2 linked regions of the Lepisosteus oculatus genome follow. The protein of the gene in region 2 binds, or shares a complex with, the protein of the main gene of each other region. Links are inferred from orthologs where the notes say so. Each region holds a gene or a part of one and is shown on either strand. Other genes may lie near its edges.

What was found.
Region 1: the proteins of synaptosomal-associated protein 25 (region 2) and vamp2 are in contact, whole or in part, in a crystal structure (PDB 1SFC), measured with the Rattus norvegicus proteins. The link is inferred for Lepisosteus oculatus from reciprocal best matches to the Homo sapiens genes SNAP25 and VAMP2. Residues at the interface, in NP_112253.1 of Rattus norvegicus: Gly131, Gly132, Phe133, Ile134, Arg135, Arg136, Asn139, Leu150, Glu151, Ser154, Ile157, Gly158, Leu160, Arg161, Ala164, Leu165, Met167, Gly168, Ile171, Asp172, Gln174, Asn175, Ile178, Asp179, Ile181, Met182, Ala185, Asp186, Asn188, Lys189; in NP_036795.1 of Rattus norvegicus: Asn25, Thr27, Ser28, Asn29, Arg30, Arg31, Leu32, Thr35, Gln38, Val39, Glu41, Val42, Ile45, Met46, Asn49, Lys52, Val53, Glu55, Arg56, Lys59, Leu60, Glu62, Leu63, Arg66, Ala69, Leu70, Gly73, Ala74, Gln76, Phe77.

Annotation. Positions count from the first base shown.
Region 1 is NC_090698.1:9,312,845-9,324,542, reverse strand, and holds the start of vamp2 (vesicle-associated membrane protein 2), read right to left. Parts: upstream 4,449-11,698; 5' UTR 4,130-4,448; coding exon 4,128-4,129; intron 458-4,127; coding exon 334-457; intron 1-333. Other genes in the region: aurkb (aurora kinase B), read right to left, coding at 10,018-10,191, 10,284-10,458, 11,513-11,661. UniProt on the Homo sapiens protein: Involved in the targeting and/or fusion of transport vesicles to their target membrane. Major SNARE protein of synaptic vesicles which mediates fusion of synaptic vesicles to release neurotransmitters.
Region 2 is NC_090698.1:1,851,741-1,863,529, reverse strand, and holds the start of synaptosomal-associated protein 25, read right to left. Parts: upstream 4,577-11,789; 5' UTR 4,420-4,576; intron 1-4,419. Other genes in the region: calpain small subunit 1, read right to left, coding at 8,308-8,334, 8,614-8,672, 9,354-9,470, 11,628-11,706.

The sequences.
Region 1 (11,698 bases), about 7.5 Mb from region 2:
TGTCAGTGTACTGGACTCCACAGGAAGTGGCAAATCTCTCAGTACAGGATCTACTGCTGTCACCCTTCCCACTCGAGACAATTCCTGTGTCGGTCTATTAGTGCATCTGAGCACTCCGCACATCTGACTGGGTCTAAACTCTCTGTATCAGTGCATGGCTCAGAGCTTCAGTCTGTCTGTTGGTGTCTGCGAATCCCCATACATCTGCGGGTGTTTCAGCACGTGAGATCCGCCAGCGCGTTCGTGAAGGACCGTCAAAGCAAGGAGAGCCAAGTCAGTCTGTCGGGGGGCGAGTCTGTCACGGCCAGCCCATGCGCTCGTCTGCCCGCTCACCTCGTCCACCTGGGCCTGCGTCTGCTGCAGGCGTCGGTTGCTGGTGAGGTTGGGGGGCTGCTGGGGGGCAGGTGGAGCTCCCCCTTCTCCAGGTGCAGCAGCTGGGGCGGCAGCCGGGGCAGACCTGTCAATCAAACAGTCAAAACAGGGGTTATCACACATTCGCGCAGGACACAGCAGAGCCACACCACAGCCTGCCAACCAGTTAGAACAGACGTTCTCATGGAAGCAGAATGCCAGCCCAGTCAAAGCACAAACTGATCATCATCATCTCAGGGAGCGGCAACCAGGAGAAGCCACTACTCCCATTCTAGCAGTGGGCCTCTTTGTCAATTGGAAAAATGAAGTAGAGTCAGCAACATTCATGACTTTCAACTAAGCCTGAAATCGGTCAAGCTTTTGGATACCTGTGAACACTCTAAAAACATGTTTGTAAATGTCCTTTGGATTCTTGTTCTCTTCTTTAAAGCATAAAATGATGGCAGGAATTTGGCTTTTCCACTGGAAGTATGGACCTACAATAACCAAACCCTATATAAATCTAGTCTAGAGCCCTGTGACTGGGCTGTGTCAGTGTGCTGGACTCCACAGGGACTGTGAGAGTCTAGAGCCCTGTGACTGGGCTGTGTCAGTGTGCTGGACTCCACAGGGACTGTGAGAGTCTAGAGCCCTGTGACTGGGCTGCGCCAGTGTGCCGGACTCCACAGGGACTGTGAGAGTCTAGAGCCCTGTGACTGGGCTGTGTCAGTGTGCTGGACTCCACAGGGACTGTAAGAGTCTAGAGCCCTGTGACTGGGCTGTGTCAGTGTGCTGGACTCCACAGGGACCGTGAGAGTCTAGAGCCCTGTGACTGGGCTGTGTCAGTGTGCTGGACTCCACAGGGACTGTGAGAGTCTATCCCTGTGACTGGGCTGTGTCAGTGTACTGGACTCCACAGGGACTGTGAGAGTCTAGAGCCCTGTGACTGGGCTGTGTCAGTGTACTGGACTCCACAGGGACTGTAAGAGTCTAGAGCCCTGTGACTGGGCTGTGTCAGTGTGCTGGACTCCACAGGGACTGTGAGAGTCTAGAGCCCTGTGACTGGGCTGTGTCAGTGTACTGGACTCCACAGGGACTGTAAGAGTCTAGAGCCCTGTGACTGGGCTGTGTCAGTGTACTGGACTCCACAGGGACTATAAGAGTCTATCCCTGTGACTGTGACTACCAATAAAACATCAGACAACTGGCTGTGTGATTAATATGGTAAACATGAGCCTTCTGGCGCAAGACCCGCCATGACACAGTCCAGCCAGCCGGGGGAGACAGAATTCCGAATAAAGGTCACCTCTAAGTGGTGTCACGTTAATCCCACAGTGCAGAGTGCTGTGTAAAATCCACACTAAACCTCTTCTTTGGTGTGTTGCTCAAAAGCCAGATGCTGCTCATACGGAAATCCCCAAGTGAAATAGCCATGGGTTACTGTCACAGGACCTATACCACTGGACTTCTGATAAAATTGTGTTCATTCCTCTGCTTTCATTTGATTCCAGATCTACCACTATTCGCGTCTCGAGCTATTTTTAGACGGCAAATCCGTCCTCTTCCAAGAAATAAAAACACAACACCCCCCCTCCCCTCCTCCCCGCGCTGCTCAAGGGGTTTGACGCCACAGCCATCTTGGAAGAGCGGAGCCTGGCCCTGCCAACACGCGCCGCGCACGGGCGCGCACTCCCGCCCGCCGGCGAGAGGCGAGAGGCGAGCTGCGCTCTCGTGCCCTACGCAGGAACGCGTCACGTCAGAGACGGATCCCCAGAACGAGAGGTTTGCTTTTATACAGAAGTACACGCCGCAACCTCACCGCGAAAACAAAACCAAAAAAATGCGGTGCGGCATTTCAGGTGTGTATTGCAGGTACATATCGGCGATCTTCTCGCCCAAGTGTATTCGAGACAGGGCACCCTTGATATTTTGAGAGATATGGATGGACACATGTAAACAAAGGCACAGAGAACATACCAGGCAAGAGCAACCTGTCTTTGCTGTGATTGCATGCAGATTAGTGGCGTGTAAGTGACGGACAGAGAGCTACAACGCAAGAAGAGGCGAGAGGCAGGAGGCAGGGGACAGGACGCGGAGATGGGGGGATCTGCGCACACTCACACCCCGGGGCCTGAGAATGACAAGTTAGCTCTTTCCGCCCGCCCACCCGGCGCGACCCCCCCCGTGTACTCCTCGGGTGTCCGGTTTTAAAAAGACAACACCTCATCTTCTCGGGGCGGCGCGGATACACCCGAGTGCGTCGTGGGCTGGATGGTGGAGCCCTACCTCTCCGTTAAACCGGAGAGAGGGTGAGAGAGACGGGGGGGGCGAGGAGGAGGAGGAGGAGGGGGGTAGCTCATTCGAGAAGCGTGATTCATCAAAAAAAAAAACCTGCACGCTCAATCACATTACAATCACATTCACGAAGCGCTGAATACAAAAATACCCCCTCTTTAAAAAAAAAATATATCGTTAAATTTCCATAATCACGCCCGATCCCTGCGGCTCCACGCTCGTTTTGGATCGGTGAAGCTCACAGAACCGACTCCGGCCGCCGGTCCGCTCTCTGCTCCCGATCCGTCACCTGAGGCGGCGGACGACCGACACGAGCCCCCGGTCGCCAGCGCTATAAATGACAGCGTTCTGCCCGTCATCATCATCACCATCATCGTCATCACCATCACCCTCATCCTCCATATTTCTGACATCTTATATAAATTGTGCTCCTCTGAAACAGTCATGTTTGCTCCCTTTCAAAAACAAATATCAGAGTGGACGCCTAAGCAACCAGATCCCTTATTACAACGACGGGCAGCGGAAAACCTGTCAGGTCGAGTCTTCTGTCCATCTTTCCGAGCTACATTACAGTGTAGCTGTGGGCGAACACATCGCAGTCAGGAGCACCGGGCTGCATCCAAACCAGACTGCTTTTCCTTCCCCTGTCGCGATCAACCTGTCGAGACCGGGGGTGATATCGCCATCCCGAAATCCCAGCAGCCGGCCCTGATCGGCCGGGAAACACGGAGTCCTTCCTCGGTGGGGATGCGGTCCACTGGCGCCCGGACCGTCCAGAACCGCACACCCAGCCCCCTCTCCGTCCTCCCGTGACAGCCCTACACAAGCCCACGAACGGGCGCCGCGATTACCCCGGGATATCGCCCCCATGTAAGACAGGGAACCACAGCGCTGTCGGCACAAACGCCATCAACGTCTTGACCCAAAACCGCGACCCCCGCTCGCTTCTCGCAAACCAGCGCAGGGAGTCGTCTAAGCCGCTTGTTTTGCGACTCAAAACGCCGAAGAAAATCGGCTAGAAACCCGACACAAATGGTTTACATCCAACCCACGTGAGATGGCGAGAGAGGCTTGTGTTGTTCGCCGAAAGGAAAGCGTATTTCTAAGAGATGATTAGGGGGGAAAACAAAATTAAAAGTGACAATAATTACAAACATTTCTCGGCTCCTGTACAACACAACGCGAAGGGCTGGTTCTGTCCGGAGTGACACAGTACTGCGTTTAAACAAGACGCTTCATTATTTCTCTCTGTCCTCTCATACGGTGGTGAAATAAAAGGACACTCGGAAAATATCCACTCTGCCGCCCCGTTATCTGACCCTTTCTGGCAATTCGGAGAGAGGGCAGGGGTAGGGCAGCCTGGGGTGTATTCATTGCATCTCGCCCGCCTGTGAAAATCCTCATTTAGCAGACAATTAAATACAAATATATATATATATTATACCTAACGCCTACATGCAAAACCAATTATTCGTACTCACATCTCGTTTGTGGTCTGTTAAGTATATGCTTCTGGCGTTCTAGATTATTTTTCTTGTGAATAGGTGTCAATATATTTTTTTTAAATATTCTGTTCAGATTTTGTCGATGTTTGTATTTTATGTTCCCCCGCTGCGGTCGCTGATGTGTCCCTTTATATTGTAGGCGGTGGTCCTGTCCCCGTCTTCGGTCTTATTTATTCAGTTTCTACCGTGCAAATCGATGGGAGAGGATGGCTGCCTCGCGCGCGGATGGGTCCAGGCGCTCGAGCTGTAGGGATATTGGGAAAAAAAAAAACACAGGCGCTGGGCTCTGAGAACAAAGATGGCCTGTTGACGTCATCCGTCATCCGGGGCAGCTCCGGGGAGCTGGAGAGATGGAGGGGGCGGGGGGTTGGAATCGCATAACCTGTAGGCAATATACTGGGAATCGTGCTATATTGACGGGAAAAAATAAACTTTTAAAATATCTACTGAACTAGCGCTTCTTCTTTTTATTCTCCAGAACACGAACTAACAGTGTACTAGCAGTCTGGGTGAATTTTCAATAGGTCAAGTTCATAAAGGGGTGTTTTTTCTTTTTTTTTTTAGTTGTGTCTGTCATTAATGTCAGCTTTTTCAGGGGACAAACCGTCTATCCTGGGGTGCGTTTTTCTGTTTCCTCACGAAACAGTCGAACAGCGGCGTTGTTTTTGTTAAAACGCTTAATTGTCGGAAAGTTTTTAAAAATCTTTTCCTGTTGTTGTAGTCCTGCATTCCCTGCACACTGTTAAGAGTCGCCCCACCCCGCCTCCCCCCCGCACACTCGCACAAAGCCCCGGCTCTCATTACACGGCTTAGTCCTAATGTTTACATGTTATAGTTTTTTTTTCCCCCTGAATGTTTTCCTGTCAGCTTTTCAAATAGATGACGAGGATGAGGGAAGATGGCGCTGTAACATAACGGCCATACATATACATGGCGCTGTATTTTGCAAAAAGTCTCATTTTCGTGAATTGTTTGGAAAAAAGACGAAGGGGCGTCCTGTATTTTAAACGCAGGAGTGTTACCGGGGAAGGGAGGGTGTATTTACGCCTCAGAGAAACGATGTCGAGAGAGGAGAAAGACGGGAAAGAGAGCCAGGGTACCGTGGGAGGCACAACAAAATGGCGGCGCAGTGACTTGGCTCTCTGGCTTCTGGACCTGTCGGCAGCGCCAGAAAGATGCCGCCCAACTTTTAACTCGTAGCGTGGCCTTCTTTTTTGAACAAACAAACAAATAAATAAAATCCATCTCCCGCGTCTCAAATTCTAGAACGTTTCAGCGCGTCACGAAGGCTGAGCGATGAATTCAAATCGTCCGAAGCGGGGTGTGTTGCTTTGTGAAAATAAAATCTGAACAGGTACAAAACAAAAAATTGACCTTTCCGTGACAGCCCTCTCCCCGCCCCTACACTCCACCCTTCCCCCCCCCCAAAACATTGCTTAACTGGACCGAAGGCAACAAGCTCGAGAGCCTGCAGACTGAGCATGTGGAAAGAGAGCTGGGATTTCAGATCTGACCGCGCTTCTTCACGCTAGGGATCTGCAGAAAAATGAGCAAAGCTGCCGCACAGTCTGTAAAACTGCTATCACCACAGATGGTATCTCCTTGTCTATCCTAATTCTGAACTATTTTAAACTAAAATGGATTATTGGCAGCGGTGGGATTCGAACCCACGCCCCCGAAGAGACTGGAGCCTTAATCCAGCGCCTTAGACCGCTCGGCCACGCTACCATACGAGCCGTCTCTGAAAAAGTATGAATGACTTTATTTGCGCCTACTCCAAACTTTAATTCTTTTATTTATTTCTCTCGGATTTCACAGCAAACCAGTTATTCACGCAAAAGGCTTGCACCTAAACATTAGGGCATCATAATATCTTGCTTGGGCAGAAGACGTAATTCTTTAAGACACAAAGTATTTGCCAGGGAAAGGATCGATTTAATCCAGACGTGTACCATTCCTTTACCATATGTGGTAAATCAGAAAAACACAGATCCCGCTCTCCGCCTGGCGCAGTCGCATTCGTAACAACAACACTTAAGAGATAGACGATGCAAGGCGCTGGCCGAGTTACAATGCTGATGGCGAAAAATATATAAGAAAATAGATAAGGGTTGAATTCTGCTAAATAAATTGACATAACTGAAAGCAATCAACAAAAATGAGAATACGAAGTCGCCGGCATGCGACACTCAAGAGTAGGAGGCACCTCTTTACACAAAGGGCAGTGGGAGTCTGGAACAAGCTGCCCAGTTACGAAACCAAAACTATCGTCTTGGAGTCTTTCAGGAAAACTCTGGATGAGTTACTAATGTACAAATCAGAAACAAGTGCTGAAGTGGTCTCATCTGATCGGTCTCCACTCTTGAGCTCTTTAATACAAACCGACACTCTCTGGTAGCCCACAAGATTAATTCGGACAGCTGTTACAAGGAAGGGCAGTGTCTGTCGATAGCAGGTAGAAAAAATGAGGATCTGAGCTGGGAGTAGGAGGAAATTGGAGGAGATCTGGTGATGGAATCTGTTCCCCATTACTCCTGAGTAATGATCTCCTGGGGCACCAGATCAATGCATTGAGAGGAAAGCTCTCTCCCGGCTCTGCTTACCAGCAGCCATATCACCCTGCAGCTCTCGACTGGCAGTCCTACTGAAGCTCAACAGCTGTGAGCCTGGCCAGTAGCTGGATGGGAGACCTACTGGAAAAGCTAAGGTTGCTGCTGGAAGAGGTGTCAGTAGGGCCAGCAGGGGGCGCTCACCCTGTGGTCTGTGTGGGTGTTTCTCAAAAAGAATAGGGGTGTTTGCTAAATTTCCCGCAGGCCTTTACCAGTCATGGCCTCCTAATAATCCCCATCTCTGAACTGGCTCCATCACTCTGTTCTCCTCTCCACTGACAGCTGGTGTGTGGTGGGTGTACTGGTGCACTATGGCTGCCATTGCATCATCCAGGTGGGGCTGCACATGGGTGGTGGTGGTGGTGGTGGTGGTGGTGGTGGTGGAGGGGAGTCCCCTTTACCTGTGATGTGTTCTGAGTAGAGTGTCCAGAAAAGTACTATATAAGCATAAGCAATTATCATCGTTCCTTCTTTCTGCCACTGCAAAGCACCCAAAATGCTGAACATCTTTGGAGAGCTCAAGAACAAAAAGATTTATAAACATAAATCTGGTTCGAAACGGATCCACACGTCTCCCGTTTCTGTGCTTGCACTGCCTACGGATTCTCTAGGAATCCTGGGGGAATCGCCAACAAGATAGTTGCTTCTCGCCTCTTTTTTTCCCTTCTTCTCTCCTACACAAACACCTCAACTTCGGATTGAAAGAATTCCAGGCAGCCAGGCTCTCACACCAGGCCCAGGTGTTAATTAGGTCCCAGCACCCACTTCGCACCCTCAACACTGCTGCACTTGACGTGTGTGAAAAGTGGGGGGGCTGCCACTGTCGCATCGGATAATCTCCCGACTCCTCTCCGCCCGTGCCGGCCTGACGGCAGCTATTTTTAGGCTGGCAGCGAGCGGGCGACAGCGCCTTCAGCATCTTGGAATTCAAAGTGGCACAGTGCTCTGCCAGTCGCAGCATCAGAAGGGGTGGAGGGGAGGCGAGGCGAGATGAGATTTTTTAACTGTATACTTTAAATCACAAACAAAAGGCCTGGCGTTCTGCTTGCATCCCAAACCAGGCCATTGGCCCAATCCAGGCCTTTAGGACCCCCCTATGCAACCACACTCCTGATGACGCCCCCTCCCCAATCCCCTCTTTCAACCAATAAATTTGACTCACTGCAAACTTTTTGAATTATTCTGCATATAGCAGCATTTAACTTTTACATATCAAAAGCCAGCTGAAAGCTTCATCGTTACTAGGAGCACGTAGGACAACAAAGAGATCTCAAGAATGAAATCAGGCCAATTAAAACACTACAAGTTGAAGTGTGGTGGAAGTCAGACTTATCCCACCACTAGACATTCAGCAATTTCTATAGTCACCCTTTTTTGGCAAAACCACCATAGCTGGAAAAAATGCTCAGCGATTGTGAAGAAATCTCTCCCTGGTTTGAAATCATGCAGAGTCCCAGATTATTAAAAACAGCAGGTCTGACACAAACGCCAATCAGAGCACAATCGCCCAGAAGAGACCGAGATCCTTCCTGGTCCTTGTGCAGCACACCCCAAGCCTGGAGCAGACAGCCCGGCACTGCACACAGGACTGAAGCTCTGCAGCGACGGACAGACCTGCCACTGGAGGTGCCGTTTCATCACAAGAGAAACGGCATAAACCCCTCCCTGTGAACCCGAGCAAGATGAAGGGAATGGTCTTGAGCCAACCACGACAACTTCCACGACTGGGTCTAATTTAACCTCGTCTCAAACACGGATTGGTGGATGTTCCCAAGAGGGAGCAAAACATATGGCACAGAACGACAGCCAACTGATGGAGTGGAGGCTGATGGATAAAAGATCAGCAGAAACCAGTGAACCTGCTCACTAGAAGGGGAATAACCAGAGCAGGAAATGGCAGCATGGCTCAGGAAACCAGATCACTCTTTTCCTGGAGTCACAGGAATTGAATGCAGAGATAACATTGTATGTGCAGTCCAGCACCTCTTGTGAGCTTTTTATTCTACTTGTGCCCTGCATCACTGTTAAAAGAAAACCCTTTAAAAGCCCACAGTAAATAGCTATAAAGAAACATCCAGCACCTTACATTGTATAAAGAATTTATTGGTTTTCTAAAACACATCCCAGTGGTGACGAAACATAAAAACAGTAGATTTCAACAGTCTAAAAGAAGTCACGCTAATCCTCAATATTTCCAAATCCAACCCTATGAGAACAGCTTACTGGCACCAGAACTCTCATTCGCCAAATAAAGCATCACCTATCAATCAGCAGCTGTTATACAGCTCCAATGAAGCCAGTTGATTCATTAATTGAAATAAAAACCTACAGGCTGCACTAGGTCTGGTGCTGGGCAGCACTGCTTGAAGCAGTCCGAGCGCCTCTACATTCCAGAAAATGCGGTCACAGTCTCCGTACTAAAAAAAGGCAGGTTGAGCCAGCTTGTCTTAACTCCTTTCAAGACAATTCAAGGCAGAAAATTGCATATTCTTCCCTTACAGATAGCCGCAAAGCTTCCTCAAAACAGCTGTAATTCAAAAATGCCACCTTGAGGACCCCCAGGCCAACACTTAGCATGCTGGGATCTCCAGTATAATTTATTTACATTGGGATACAACAGAGAACATTCAGACAACATATATAAGACAAGACATACAAGAACGGCATACTGTGCCTTTGACCGTGGAAGACTTTTCATAAACCTGCATAAAATTTTTTTTTTCAGCCAGAATAACAAGTTCCAGGAATGGCTATTAACAGAGACAGTGAGATACTACAACTCCAAAAACTAAAAGACCGGTCAAGACAGTCCCTGTTCTTCAAACAACCTCACAGCAAAGATCCTGTCCTGCTGTTGAGGTCCAAGGCTTCAGGTCCTGAGGAACACCTCCACCTCCCCGACACCAGGGGGCGCCAGCCAGTTGTTTCCAGCAGAGCCCACACAGATGGTACAGGTGCTAAAACCCACAGAGCAGAGGGAACAGGGATGAAAAGTAGCTGAGGTTCGAGAGAAATGACTGCAGATCAGGATGAGCCCCCCCACCCCCACCTCCAGAGGGGCAGGTTGGTTTTCTGCAGGGGCGCTGCTGTATTGTATGTGGAGGTTCAGTGAAGGTTGGATTGGAGAGGCTCTGCACAAAGAGCTGCAGTTCCCTGGAGTGGAGATTCGGACAGCAGCAGGGTTTCGTTTCCCGGCCAGGCGTGCAGACCGCAAGAAAGGCCACGATGCGTCCCACAGGCGCCGGCAGATGCCCCAGTTAGGCTTTCTTGGGGGTGAAGACGGGGGGCAGCACGCGGCGGGAGTTGCTCTTGACCCAGGGGTGCTCCTGCACGCCCTTCAGCGAGAGCCGCATGGTGGGGCTGTGGCGCAGCAGCTTGGAGATCAGGTCCCGCGCGCCCTCCGACACCGTCTTGGGGAAGTGGAGATCCACCTGGAGAGAGAGAGGGGGCAGTCAGCCGAGAGGCGAAGGCCAAGCAGCTACACCCCTGGGCTGCCCTTAGACCACAGGGCTTCGACCCCCACCTTGGTGATCCTCTTGTAGGTCTCAGTGTGGCTGGAGGTCTCGAAAGGGGGGTTCCCCACCAAGCACTCGTAGCACAGCACCCCGATACACCACAGGTCCACTTTCTCGTCGTGGGTTCTCCCCTCGATCATCTCGGGGGGCAGGTAGTCCAGGGTGCCGCACATCGTCCTCCGTCTGTAGAGGAAAGGCATTTTGACTACAAGCCCGGGCTGTATGTTTGGACCTAAAATTCAAAGCCCAGACTTTCGGTTCAACGTTAAACATTGATACTGCGGATCCCTTCACACAACAGGCTGAATTTGTACAAGCAGCTGCAACAAAAGGATTTGAAAAGTAGCCTCCCTAGAGACGTCAGCAGTAAGCAATTTTCCCAAACACAAAAAAAATCATCTATTTTTAGATTTACAAAGAGGCACCCAACGAATGCATACTGGAACTGTGGCAGGGTACTTCACAAGGGAACTGACTTGTATTGCTCAAGTCTCTGTGGGGTAGCTTTACATTTGTAAATAGAAGTTGCTGACTCTTTAAAAAGCACCTGTGGATGCAGGCTGTTTACCTGGAATGCAAGGGGTGTCATAGGAGCTCTATTTGTATAATTATCAGCAATTTCTGAATAAATCAACCTTTATCCACACTTAAACTGGAGATTTGAGTCACATCAATGACTATATGGAGTTTTCATAAGGAGAAAGCCAAGTTACCCAACATGGGGATCTTTCAGACTCTATAGCAGATACAGAAACACCTCTTCACCCCATTAGGGGCTTGACTGCTCACAGCTCACCACAGGAGAGCAGTGTACCACCATGCACATAGCCGTGATCAGAGACGGTGCACAAGAAGCCATTAGTACCAGGCCTCTCCTCTAAACAAATCGATTGGCTGAAGTGGGTACAGGGAGATATTTCCCCCGTAATTTCACCTCTTTCTCCATATGCACAATGCTAGGGTTGTTAGGAAATAACACATGAATCCAAGGGCAAAGAACACAGTCTTGGAGATGGTTAGTTCCCTTCTAACTGAAAATGAGATTTGCTGGTAGGTTGATGAAACATTCTCTGAGATTCTCCAAAAAACAGATAGAAAGAGATAATTGATCACTTGCTAATTAAAGGGCTAGCGGTCTAACTTGAGCTTATAATGGTGTCAGCAGGCATGAGGGTGGAGGAGAGTAACAGAAGTGAGCGTTGTAGCGGCGGATGGAGAGAACCCACGCAGCACTCACCGCAGGGAAGGTGCGTGGACGGACCAGCCGAAGTCCGCGATCTTCAGCTCCCCGCGGAAGCCCAGCAGCAGGTTCTCAGGCTTGATGTCCCTGTGGATGACCTTCCTCTCGTGGCAGTACTGCAGCGCGTCCGCCAGCTCCTCCATGTACTGGGAAGAGAGAGAGAGGGACAGGCAGCCGTCACCC
Region 2 (11,789 bases):
GTGCGTGTATTCCTGCAACTTGGCTAATTTAAATAGCATTGAACTGCCTTTGTTTGACTTGCTTTAAATTGTATCTTTAGAGCCCGTGATTCATCATACATGTACCTACTACTGTAATGAATCATTTGTTGTATTATGTTGATTTTTTTTCTACCAAAATAAACTTTAGTCCACAACAGACATCTTACAATGAGTACACACTCTAACAAACCATAAACCTCTACTCAATTAAAAAAATATCGGGTGATTGTCCATTTTCAATCAAAGCAAGTGGATTCTGGGGCTGGATTTGCACAATAAAAAGAGTTCCTCTGAGCCCCACCACTTACTGTTTTCAATGTCATGTTGAAATGTTGCAACTAACACTTGTCTTTTGGCATACAGTATGCTGATCTACAGTACATCTTTGGTGCAGTCAATTCATTTTTTTCCCTCTTTGTTCAGGGTGAAGTGAGAATCGCCTTCACCAGGTGTAAATTTGCTGTCACAAAGAAAGAGGAGCTCTTGAAAAGGAGTGAGCTAATGAGTGTCTGCCTCGAGGGCCAGGGAAGCTCCCTGCGGGCGTCTCTGCATGGCCTCGTATTGACACCCAGCAGCCCCGCTGGGCGCAGACTGTCTCCCTCGCGGGGGCCCGGCTGGCAGGAGGTGCTCCTTGCAGAGAGGAGATGTTCTCCAGGAGCTGCGAGTTCCTGACACCCTGCAGCCTGCTGGCACGGCGCCCAGCGGGCAGACCATCATTACTGCTCTCACAGCCATGGGCCCAAGAGCCCGGCCACACAGTAACGCCAAGCACGGCAGATCTTTACTCATCCGCATGGCACACGGGCAGCACCAGCACCTCACAGCACCAGGGTTCTGGGTTCGACTCCGGCTCTGTATTCTGCACGATTGCATGGGTTTTCCCCAGGTTCTCTGGCTTCCTCCCATTAGCACCTCTGAATCGTGTCCTTTAAGCGTGCCCTGGGTGCCCTGTGACAGACTGGCACCCTGTCCGGGGTGTAGCCACAGCTGGGCCCTGTGCCTGTCGGGTCATGCTCGAGCCCAGCAGAATACAAAAGGATGGGCGAACGTACTGCACCTACAGTATACCTCTCCACTGACGTCTGAACAATCCGACTGGAATAAAACTAGGAAAATGGCTTTTTTAGAGAGCGTTGGGGTAACTGCTGACTTCATATGTTTGTGAAGTGAATACATAACCCCCCCTCCACCCCTGTTAAAAATACCCATGGCGAGGAATTAGCTCCAGCACAATGAGATTCCTGCAGTTCCAGCAGGGAGCAGAGCAGTGCCATTATAAATAGCTTCCATTAAAAAGCCACTTCGCAGCAACAAACATTCACCTGGCTTTCCTGAATTTCTTTACACTTTCTGCATTCCGTTTTCTCGCAGGGAATCTGCACCTGTGCTGCTGTTCAAACACTCTACCCTTTCGAACTGTCCGGCGGAGAGGGAAAGAGCGCGCGCTAAATCTGAAGATACACAGGTGGGGATTTTAAATATTGCACAGTGTGACTGGAAAATAAGATTAATACATCATCACATGGCAGGAGTGATGTGCCACTTTTATCTTAAGCCCTGTTCACAATATTTAACAGAAAGGATCAAAAGACTATATTTATCTGAGTAAACAATCCATCACACCCTGAGCTTCTTTTTTATTTCCTTGTGAAACACCCGTCTCCTGTGTCGAAGTCCTTGCTCCACAAGAGCAGTTCACAACAGTGGGCAGCAATTGAGAAGAAGGGCAGTGTGAACATAGACAAGGGATTAAAGCCACTGCTCTTGTCTCACCGCCTCAGCGGCTCCAGAAAATGCTGCAGAACTCAGAATTGCTTTAGGACATCGCTATAAGGTAGAACTTATTTTGAGACCCCGGCTACAATGGACTGCTCTGCTGACGATTATAAAGAAAAAGTCTACACAAAAGCAATAAAGCTCCCAGCTGGGACTGTTTAAAGAGCGAGCAGGGCAGTACTTCAATAGCAAACATCTGTTGCTGAAATGCATTATTCATGAAGACCATGCTCTTTATTCAGAAGAAGTGTGCAGCACTTTGTCACCATACTTCTCCATTTCAACCCATTTACAACCCATTAACGCTGCGCATTAGACTGCTGTTGAGGTACAGGTCTGCCTCTGCCTGGAATTAGCACCTGCATCAGTCTAAGCCCTGTGTGTTTTAGGACAGCGCAGTGCACGTTTATTTCTCTTTTCCCAACACAGTATCCCGCAGCACTGCGGAGACAGCCAAAGCATCTGCTGCACGCTTGCTTTCTGTTCTCTAAGACTGGGGAACTGGGCACCACACATCCGCTTCAGCAGAAACATCCCTCTCGGAAAGCCTGCCATTTACAAGGAGACTCGCAAGACAGGGAAATGTGCACAGATGTGTTTTTACACAAACACCTACATGGAGCTGCCAGACCACCTTATCCTCCGCCCCACAGAAGAGAACTGTGCAGGCTGTGGGACACCACATTCTCCCTGACAGGGCTCTCTGTTGGGCACAGCAGCACTTAACTGACACTCAGTCTGGTGAGATTTTCCTGGATGGTTTCCTAAAGCACATTCAGACATCTGTTTGCCATTAATTTAACATTTCGCAGGCACTGCAATGTTGAAAGGCAGGCATGGACATTCGCTGCCCCAGAGGCTCCCATGCGAAGGGCAGGTGAAGACCTTAACGCACAGAGAATGGCCTTGACCGCTTCTGGGGCGCCCCTCCAGCAAAGCTATACAGCTATACAGCTATGGAGCTCCTGGGGCGAAGCACCTCACTCAGGGCACATCAGCACTGCCCGCGTCAGGGTCTCGAACCCACAGCCAGTCTGTTCCACTACACTGCAGAAGTTTTATCTATGCAGAAGGAAGTTTCTTACTTCTAATGTAGAAACTCAGGAGTCTCCTCGTTGCGATCTATTTTCATCAGGGGTCACATGCTGTTGCTGGGAAGGCTGGAGGAGATGACTTGGCATGTGCTGGGTTTCAAAATGACTTCATCGGTGGGAAATGCCCCCCCGGCAAAAGATCATCGTGATCGTGAATAATCAAATTAGGCGTTTTGTTTATTTTAATGCTGATGATCGTTTGTTCGAAATTCTGAACCAGTTGACCTTTTAAAGGTTGCTCACATGTGAACTATGAGGTGCTGGTTGTTCACACTGATGGTGATGAGCCATTTAAAATCTCAAGTAGGGAGCTGGATCAGCAAGCATTTAGCATTTAAGGTTTATTCCTTGCTAAGAAGAGATCAAAAGAAGCACAATGTTTTAGCGGTGGAGCTTTCTTATGGCGTCTTCAACAGTAAAGAAAAAACCTTTACTTGTTCATTTAAAATCTCTGAACTTCACCCCTAATGACAAGCGTTTTTCTACTACGTCTTTTCTTTTACACTTCACAGAATCGATTTTTAGATGTGGTGCTCCTCCTAGGTTACTCCTGCTCCTTAATATGCTTGATCATGATGTGGGGTGCAGCAGGCAGGGCTGAGGCTCAGGACTCCCAGCTGCAAGCCGGCGTGCTCCAGTGCCAGACAAGACGCTGCTGCTCACTGTACTCGGGCCGAGGTACTTCACTCAGAAGCGCCTGCAAAATGCCCAGCTCTCTGAATGGATACACAAGTAAACCGCTTAGGATGTCCGCCTCAACCATAAAATTAATTATAGGAAAAGGTAACTCAATTATCTGAAATGCGCTCGCCGTTGGTTTAGGCGATTTTGAACATGTTGTTCAGACGGGTTTCCATGCCCGGCTAACTCAATCCGAGTTATCCCCGGGATCAATCGGCGACCACAGCTGTATCGACCAATGCCCAGCTGTGGAGTCTGCGCCGGTCCGGGGACACTAGGAGAACAGCCGCTGGAAACAGCGCAAATTCTAATCTTTTAGGAGTAACAAACATGCAGTCCAGTTTACGGCCAACAACAACAACAACAACAATGATCAAAACAACTTGGTTATTGGCAAGTTTTATCAATCCACCCTGAACTGAGACAATGTTACTTGAAATATTCGCATATGACAAGCACGCGAATATCTATCCGGCCGAACCGTCTCTCCGCAGGAAAACACGAAAATGCGACCAGTGCAGCCAGTACATCTGCTTCGAGCACAACCAGCGCTCGGCTCCTTCTCCCATCTCATAACGCCCCCAAACAGCTCCAGCGAAGCGACTTCCAGAATTCACCTCGAGCACGAACCCAGAGTTAAAAACACAGGTGAAAGGGGACGGGTTGCCTCTTTCACTCGTTCTAACCTGAGAGGCAACCGGGATCTGTGTACGTTATCTGACCCCGTGCTGGCCAGTCATTTCAGAAATTATTTAACGAAAAGTTCGCTTTCAGTTACCGGAAACAAAAACAAAGTTAGGGAAGAAACTTGTGTTTTACAAGTTAACTGCCGGCATGACGTTCTTACCTGTGGATGCGGGCTGTTTTCCTAGTCCCTGTGAGGCTGGAGACGAGAAAGGGCTCAGCCACCTGTATTTGCTCGCCGCCTCTGTGCCTCCGCCAGCGTGCAGTCTCCGATCTCGCTTCCTGCAGGTGCCGCAGACGCGTCTGCGATTGGAACGGCTGCGGTGGCAGTCAGCCCAGAGGTGGGGGTGGGGCCGAGCGCTATAGGCTCGCCCCAGTGAGCTTCAGCCCCTCCTCCCGGGCGGGGTCCGGCCCACGAAGCGCTCGGAGGCAGGTTGCCCCGGCAACTCGCACCTGCGAGCGTCACCTGCGGCGTGTGGCCGAGCTGGCCGGGGGGCCGGCCTGATGGTTTCGCGGGACGTGCGGTGTGCCAAGGCTGTGGGTCAAACCCGTGCAGCTGAGTGGGCAGCTGTCTTGTCGATAATTGAAGTCCCGCTCAGGGCTTTACAGGGCCTGTAAAAGGATACTGTGTTTGCACCCTGTTAAATCCCAGGCTCTCTCCCTATCTGTGTGCTGTGTCTCTCATGGAGAGCAAGCTGGGGTATGCGAAAAGATAATTCCTAATGCAAGAAATTGTATAGGGCTAATAAAGTAATGTTAAAAAATCGGCAACCACGCGTTCAGATGATTTTAAGTGATATGTTGGGCTGAAATGTTTTTGTAACGCGACGTTCTGTTATTTACAGCTGCTCCTGTTGATATTTGACTGAAGTGTTTTGCTCACGGGTAGAACACCTGTGTCCCACCTGCGGGGATTTGAACCTGCAGCTCTGTAGCAGCTAGTCGAGAGTTTGTGGTCACGCCCTGCTCTCCATCGTGTGAAGAAAACTCATTTGCTATAATCAACACGTACAAACCATCCGAACCGAATTTTACCCTTGGAGAAACCTCCGGTATAATTCTTATTCACGCATTGAAATGATATAATTAATATCATTTACAGCTGTAAGCTGTAACAAAAAAAGTTTCACGTGGTCTTCAGTTCAAAGGCGTGGCCAGTCCTGCGATGGCAGAAGTCGCTGGAGATAACAAATGAAAGATTACAATATAGACGTTTTTCGTTTTTTCATTCCGTCGCATTATTTTCAACGCTGAATATTTTTCACATGCTTTGGCAATCACAAGTTATTAACTGTTTGCACGTTACAGTGTGTATATGGAGAGTATTTGAAATATATATATAAAACAACTTTTCCTGTCTGCTCCTGGACTGACACAAAAGACAAAAAGGCTCATTGTAAACGGCGGCCCGAAGTGTGTGTGAACGCGCGTCATCAATCATGACTCAACATGGAAAGAATTGAACTCTTAGGATTCAGGAGATTAGACAGCAATCAGAGCCCAGAGTCTGTTTTAATATAGGTCCTTATCTTTTCCTGAACAGCCGAGCATCACGCCGTCAGGGACTGGAACTGAGCTAATAGCGCGGTCTGCTTTTGGGTCTTATTGAAACAGGAACTGTCGTCAGAGTCACGTAGACCGCCAAACAGCCGCTGCATTTACAAACTGAAGTGGGCAGTGCCTCGTCTTCAATGGGTAAAGGGTTTTCTGATCGGTGCTCGCTTAAAAGGTGACCTTTACGACACCAGAAAGGGCTCCGGCGCCGCTCGGCGACAGCTGTGCTGTGCGGAAAGTCCCTCTCGCTGCGTGTGCGCGGCTTCATGCGCGCCTGCGACTCTAAACTGTACCTGCTGCTCTCACGGAGTTCTGCCATTCATGGAAAACACTCCATCGCTACTGCTGTCCACTTCGCGTTCACCTGTTCGTCACACCTTTCTGATATCGATATCGATACTCGTAAAACGCAGATTCTTTCCGGTTTTGTTTCCCGGAGATGGAAAACTGCGAACTGGCGTGGAGGTCACGGCCGCCGGGCAGCTGGTGTCGGGCAGGGATCCGAAGTGCCGTTCAGCTCTGTTTGTAGTTGGCTCTGTCTAGCCCGCTCCTTATTCCTCACTCCATCCACACGTTTTCTGACCGCTTTATCCAAATCAGGGCCCCAGCAAGCAACGGGCTCAAGGCACGGCACACCACGGTCGGGACACCAGTCCATCACGGGTCACACACACACGGACACAAACACCCACGCGCTCGCACCAGAGCCAAAATTCCCAGCAGCCAATTAACACACCAGTACCCACCAGAGCACATGTGAACACGGGGAGAACATAGAGACTCCACGCAGACAGCATCAGAAATCGAACCCAGGGCCCCGGCACTGAGGGGCAGCACCACTACACCTCTGTAACTGACACTTACTTTAGTTTTAATTTTAGTAACATATCTAGTTTAGCACTTGGAAGTTTAAACTAGTTTCAATCTGTTGGTGAAAGGTCATAGAAATGATATACATACTTTTTTTTTACGTATATCTGAAGATGTATATACCTGAAGAAGGCTCCACAGCCAAAATGCTGCATTTCCTTTCTTTTCAGCCTGGAATAAACCCGTTACCTGTTCCTTTGCAGACTTTTTTATAATAGTTATGTTAGAATAAGGTCTAACATATGGGTGTATTTGTGGGTAACAGTGAAAGGGCTACTGTCCACCTTTTACCCAATTCGCAAATCAATCCCCAGCTCTTCAACATGCTTGAGCTCTACATTCAACACGAGCTCCAAACATTCATTTTGTGAAATTAATTTCCAAACTTGTCACTAGAGTATACTATCTCAACAAAGCAACTTCCTAGATCAATTAAGGCTTCAGTGATCTAATGAAGGTGGGCTGGGATGAAACCCAGCAGGTGTGTGGGTCACCAGGACCAGGACTGGGAACCGCTGCAAGAAAGGAAGGCACAGGGCACAGCTCCAGTCTTCGAGGGCTAGAGCCACTTCAAATCATCACCTGTCAAACTAGAAACTGGTGCCCTTAAGCTACGACCAGGCCGGGGAAGCCGGGGAACAGAAGTGGAACCTCTTGGTCTGGAGCAGTACACCACTGGGCTAAAGAAACTGGAAGGGTAGCAACTGATAATCATCCTTTTTTAATAACTGAGACTCCTCTTACACTTAATGTAAAATAATAATTGGAAAAAAAAAGGTATTTTACAAAACTTCTCTCTCTACTGGACGGAGTTAGAAGAACAGCCAATGCTCAAGCAGCTGAAATCCAGAACAGTTGCTGCTCTTGTGCAAGGTGGCCACCTACTGCTAGAACTGAGCACTGCAGCTGCCGAGGTCAGAACAAAAGCCATTTCAGGAGGCACTCTGTAGCGAACAGCACAGGAATGAGACAGGACACACAGGCTTGTCTGGACAGCAGGAGTGTACAGGGGTGTCAGACTCAGGTCCTGGAGGGCCTAGTGTCTTTGGGGTTTTGTTCCAACCTAAGTTATCAATCAAACACCTTAATTATTTTTTACTTAACACGTACAGTATAGGATGTTTAAGGTCTTTTACAGTTGATAAAACGTTCACTCCATTCAAAGCTCAATTACCTATAAAACTTTGTAGACACTCTGGGGCCATGTTGGAAATGGTCTAATTACACACCTGAATCCACTACGTCCACTAGAACAAAGCACCGGGCCTTCCAAGAAGGAGTTCGACACCCCCTGCTGTAAAGAGCTCATTAAGCTTTAAGTAAAAAAAAAACTGGAAACCCTCCACTAAATCTATTTTCAAAACAATGTCATCATTTACAAAACACAACGTCTCTAATGTTTCTGGACCTCCTCCAAATAAGCCAGTTAAAATAAGAAAAAAAAAAGCTTTAATGGTTTTAAACTACATCTGCCACTAGGTATGAGTATACATGCACAGTACAGGTGAGAGGGCCAGGAGCTGGTGTTAAGCACATTGCAGGTTGTAATGTGGCACAGGGCAGTTACACAGAGGGTGGGTTGGTTCTATGGCTTCTTTCTGTGCAGGCACTGTATCTGCGTCGCTGTTCAAGAATACATTGTCAGCTGCAGCCACTGAAAATGGGAAAAAAAACAGATGTTAGCTCTGCGCACACCATCTTCTGGTACAGAGACTTCTTAAAGAAATTTGTGCTGTTGGAGTTTTACTGTCCGCTCATATTCTCTGTGTTTGCAGGTGTTCTTTGTGGACATGCAGGACAACATTGACATTGACGAGAAAAACTGCTTGAAAATACCTTGAACAGTGGAAAGTGAAGCTGAAGGAATTTGAAGAGTAACAAGGTCAATATCAAGGGCATACTGTATCACCGGTCACTGACATAGCATATTTACCTCCTGAATATTGACTTTAATGATTCCATTATCATCCTTGTCCAGGGTTTTGAATGCACCTGAAATTACAAAATGGTAACATTATTTAAAATCTCCAAATGGCACACTTTGCTGAAATGGTAAAATAAAAGCAACAGAAAAAACCGCCACGAAGCATCTCCTGGGTTTTTCTAATGTTTAAGAAGTGTATTCACCCCTCCTCCTAGACAGGTCCTTCACGAACTGTACATTGAAATATATCCAGCTGCTTTTCTGGGTCTTTTTGAATCTCCAGTAGCTGATGGCTGTGGAGAATGGACCACTTGCTCTGTCAAACCTAATGTAAATGAGTTTCACCCTTCTGCCAGGGGCAGGGCTGTTAATGACTTAAGGAGATACAAAAAAAAAAAAACTGCTGGATTCCAGGTGTTGAGAGCAACTGCCAACCCAGAGCATGGGAAAACAAAACACAGTCACAAGACAGCGGCAAAAAGATACCGTGCACCGTACTGTCAAACCCTCTTCAGTGCCTTTGATCAGGTGAGAGCGACGGGTTCAGTGGCCAGTGTTCATGAATTACACTCCCTCTGCACTCTTGTGCAATGGAGGAGTCTTCAGCAGAATGCTGCCATCCTGGACGAGGAATATGTCATGTGTTCCTTCTCTCTAGCCTGAGCAACTCTGGAGCAGCTGGAGTCCTGTGCGGTTGTGCCCCGGGCCTGGCCGTGCGGCGCCCGGCGGAGAGAGGCCTCGGTACTCACGGCACATGGCGTCCAGCCGCACCAGACAGCCGATGTAGTTGTCGAAGTCCATGTTCCCGTTGTCGTCGCTGTAGCGGCGGGTGATCATCTGGAAGAGCTGGTCGTTGAGAGGGAAGCCTGCGTGTGGGGGAGGGGACAGGGGACAGCTCGTTAGCGACGAACTCATCAGGGCTTCCCCGGCGAGCCCTGGTTTCCCTTCTCGTGCAGAACAGAGACGCAGCGGTTTCCTTTCAAACCGAGGAGTAACAGGAGGGCTGGGGGATGCTGCAGCTGCAGGTTCAGCGTTTCAGCACAGCTATTCCTCTTTTTGCACAAGCTCATTCTCAGCTGCAGGTTTAGAGTCATGTGCAAGGATTGCTCAGCCTTTGCAAACGGTAGAAGAACGAAGATCAGCTCAGCTCTACATCCACACCTCTGTACAGGTCTTAGCCATCTCGGGCACAACCAGAAGTTACAACAGGGGAGCTGCAGTAAAAGGGGTAGATTTCCCCTTGTCAGTTCTCCCCTCAATTTCTGTGTCCCGATCTGCGCTGCTTTTCGTTTGTTACTGCAAATCGTAATGCAGAACCTCATTGTTTTATCACTTCAGAAGTTACATTTGGAACATTTGAAGCTAACATTCTTTTCAAAAGTTAAATATTTCATTTATAAACAGGACAAGAAGAAAGAATTAGCAAGAAACCAGATTTGCATTTGATTAACAATTCAGTTTAAGGCTACTTTTTTTGTTAACATATAGTGCATATTCTCCACACAGCTGGAGTTAGTGAAGTTAGAACGTTCTATAGCCTTAACTATTAGCCCAAAACATCTTATAGTGTTTTATGCTATTCCAACTGTTTGGATTTTTATTAATGCACTTAGTAAAAACAAAACTCAAATCGGCAATGTCCGAATATTCAGAAACCTGAGCAGAACAACTCAGGGTAAACTAGGCAAGAACAATAAATATTAGGTGACAGAATACCTAATCCATTACTTTCACCTATCATATCTCACTGACTCACTCTCGGGTAACATCGTTCCACTTGACATATTCACAAAGTTAGAAAGATGTATTTTGCAGCACAAAATACAGATCAGGATTATCTTAGCTTTCAGCACAATTGCTAAAGTATAAATACAAAACCACCATAGAATTGTGCTTCTTCTTAAAAGAGCAGAAAAATGCAAACTTCTTCTGCACAGCAGTGTGCCTCAGACAATCAATTGATTATTGAGACAGCACCCGCTGCCCAGATCATAGAGCTTCCCTTGTTAAAATGAATACACTGTGTTGTTGTCATACTTATCAGACATTGTCCTCATTAAGGATTCCTTCAGTATTACTGATGGCCTCGTGATGCAGAGGCACTTATTGAAGACAATTTAATAACAATAACTTGCATTTGTATACTGCCTTATATCCCAAAGCGCTTTTGCATAGTTTGCAAAGCTTTATTCAGGTAAGTAAGGACAAGTACATGACCCAAGGCAATAACACTAACAGCACATGAGAAGTGCCACACAACAATGTCCTGGAAGGAGATTATGTTAAATGAAACAAAGTTCTCACTGGCCTCCTGTCCCCCATCCTCCTACACATCCTTTTTTATGCTTCAAAAAGTAATAATTAATAATAATAATAATTTACATAGTGCTTTGCTGGACACTCCACTCAAAGCACTTTCCAGGTAATGGGGATCCCCTCCACCACCACCAGTGTGCAGCCCCACCAGGATGATGCGACGGCAGCCATAGTGCGCCAGAATCCTCCCCACACACCAGCTCTCAGTGGGGAGGAGAACAGAGTAATGTAGCCAATTCATAGATGGGGATTATTAGGAGGCCATGATTGGTAAGGGCCAATGGGAAATTTGGCCAGGACGCCGGGGTTACACTCCTACTCTTTTTGAGAAACGCCCTGGGATTTTTAATGACCACAGAGAGTCAGGACCCCGGTTTTATATCTCATCCAAAGGACAGCGCCCATTAACAGTATAGTGTTCCCATCACTATACTGGGGCATTAGGACCCACATGGACCGCAGGGTGAGCGCCCCCTGCTGGCCCCACTAACACCTCTTCCAGCAGCAGCCTCTGCTTTCCCAGGAGTCTCCCATCCAGGTACTGACCAGGCTCACACCAGCTGAGCTCCAGGGGGCTGCCAGTTGTGAGTTGCAGAGTGATATGGCCGCTGGATAATTCCTAAAATGCATGTGATGCAGCAGCTTGAAATAGCCATCATTTTTTCCCCACAAGGAAACGGGAGGCTTCATGCCGTGTCAGCCCTTACCTGCAGCTTTGAAAGCTGCGGGAAGCTCATTAGCACTGATGAGACCGGATCTGTCAGCATCATACTGCTTGTAGATTGCCTGTAAAAACATGACATCTACCTCAGTGAGGAAGCAGGGGAGAACAACATCTTTCACACGCAAGACGGTTGGTCAGCACTGTT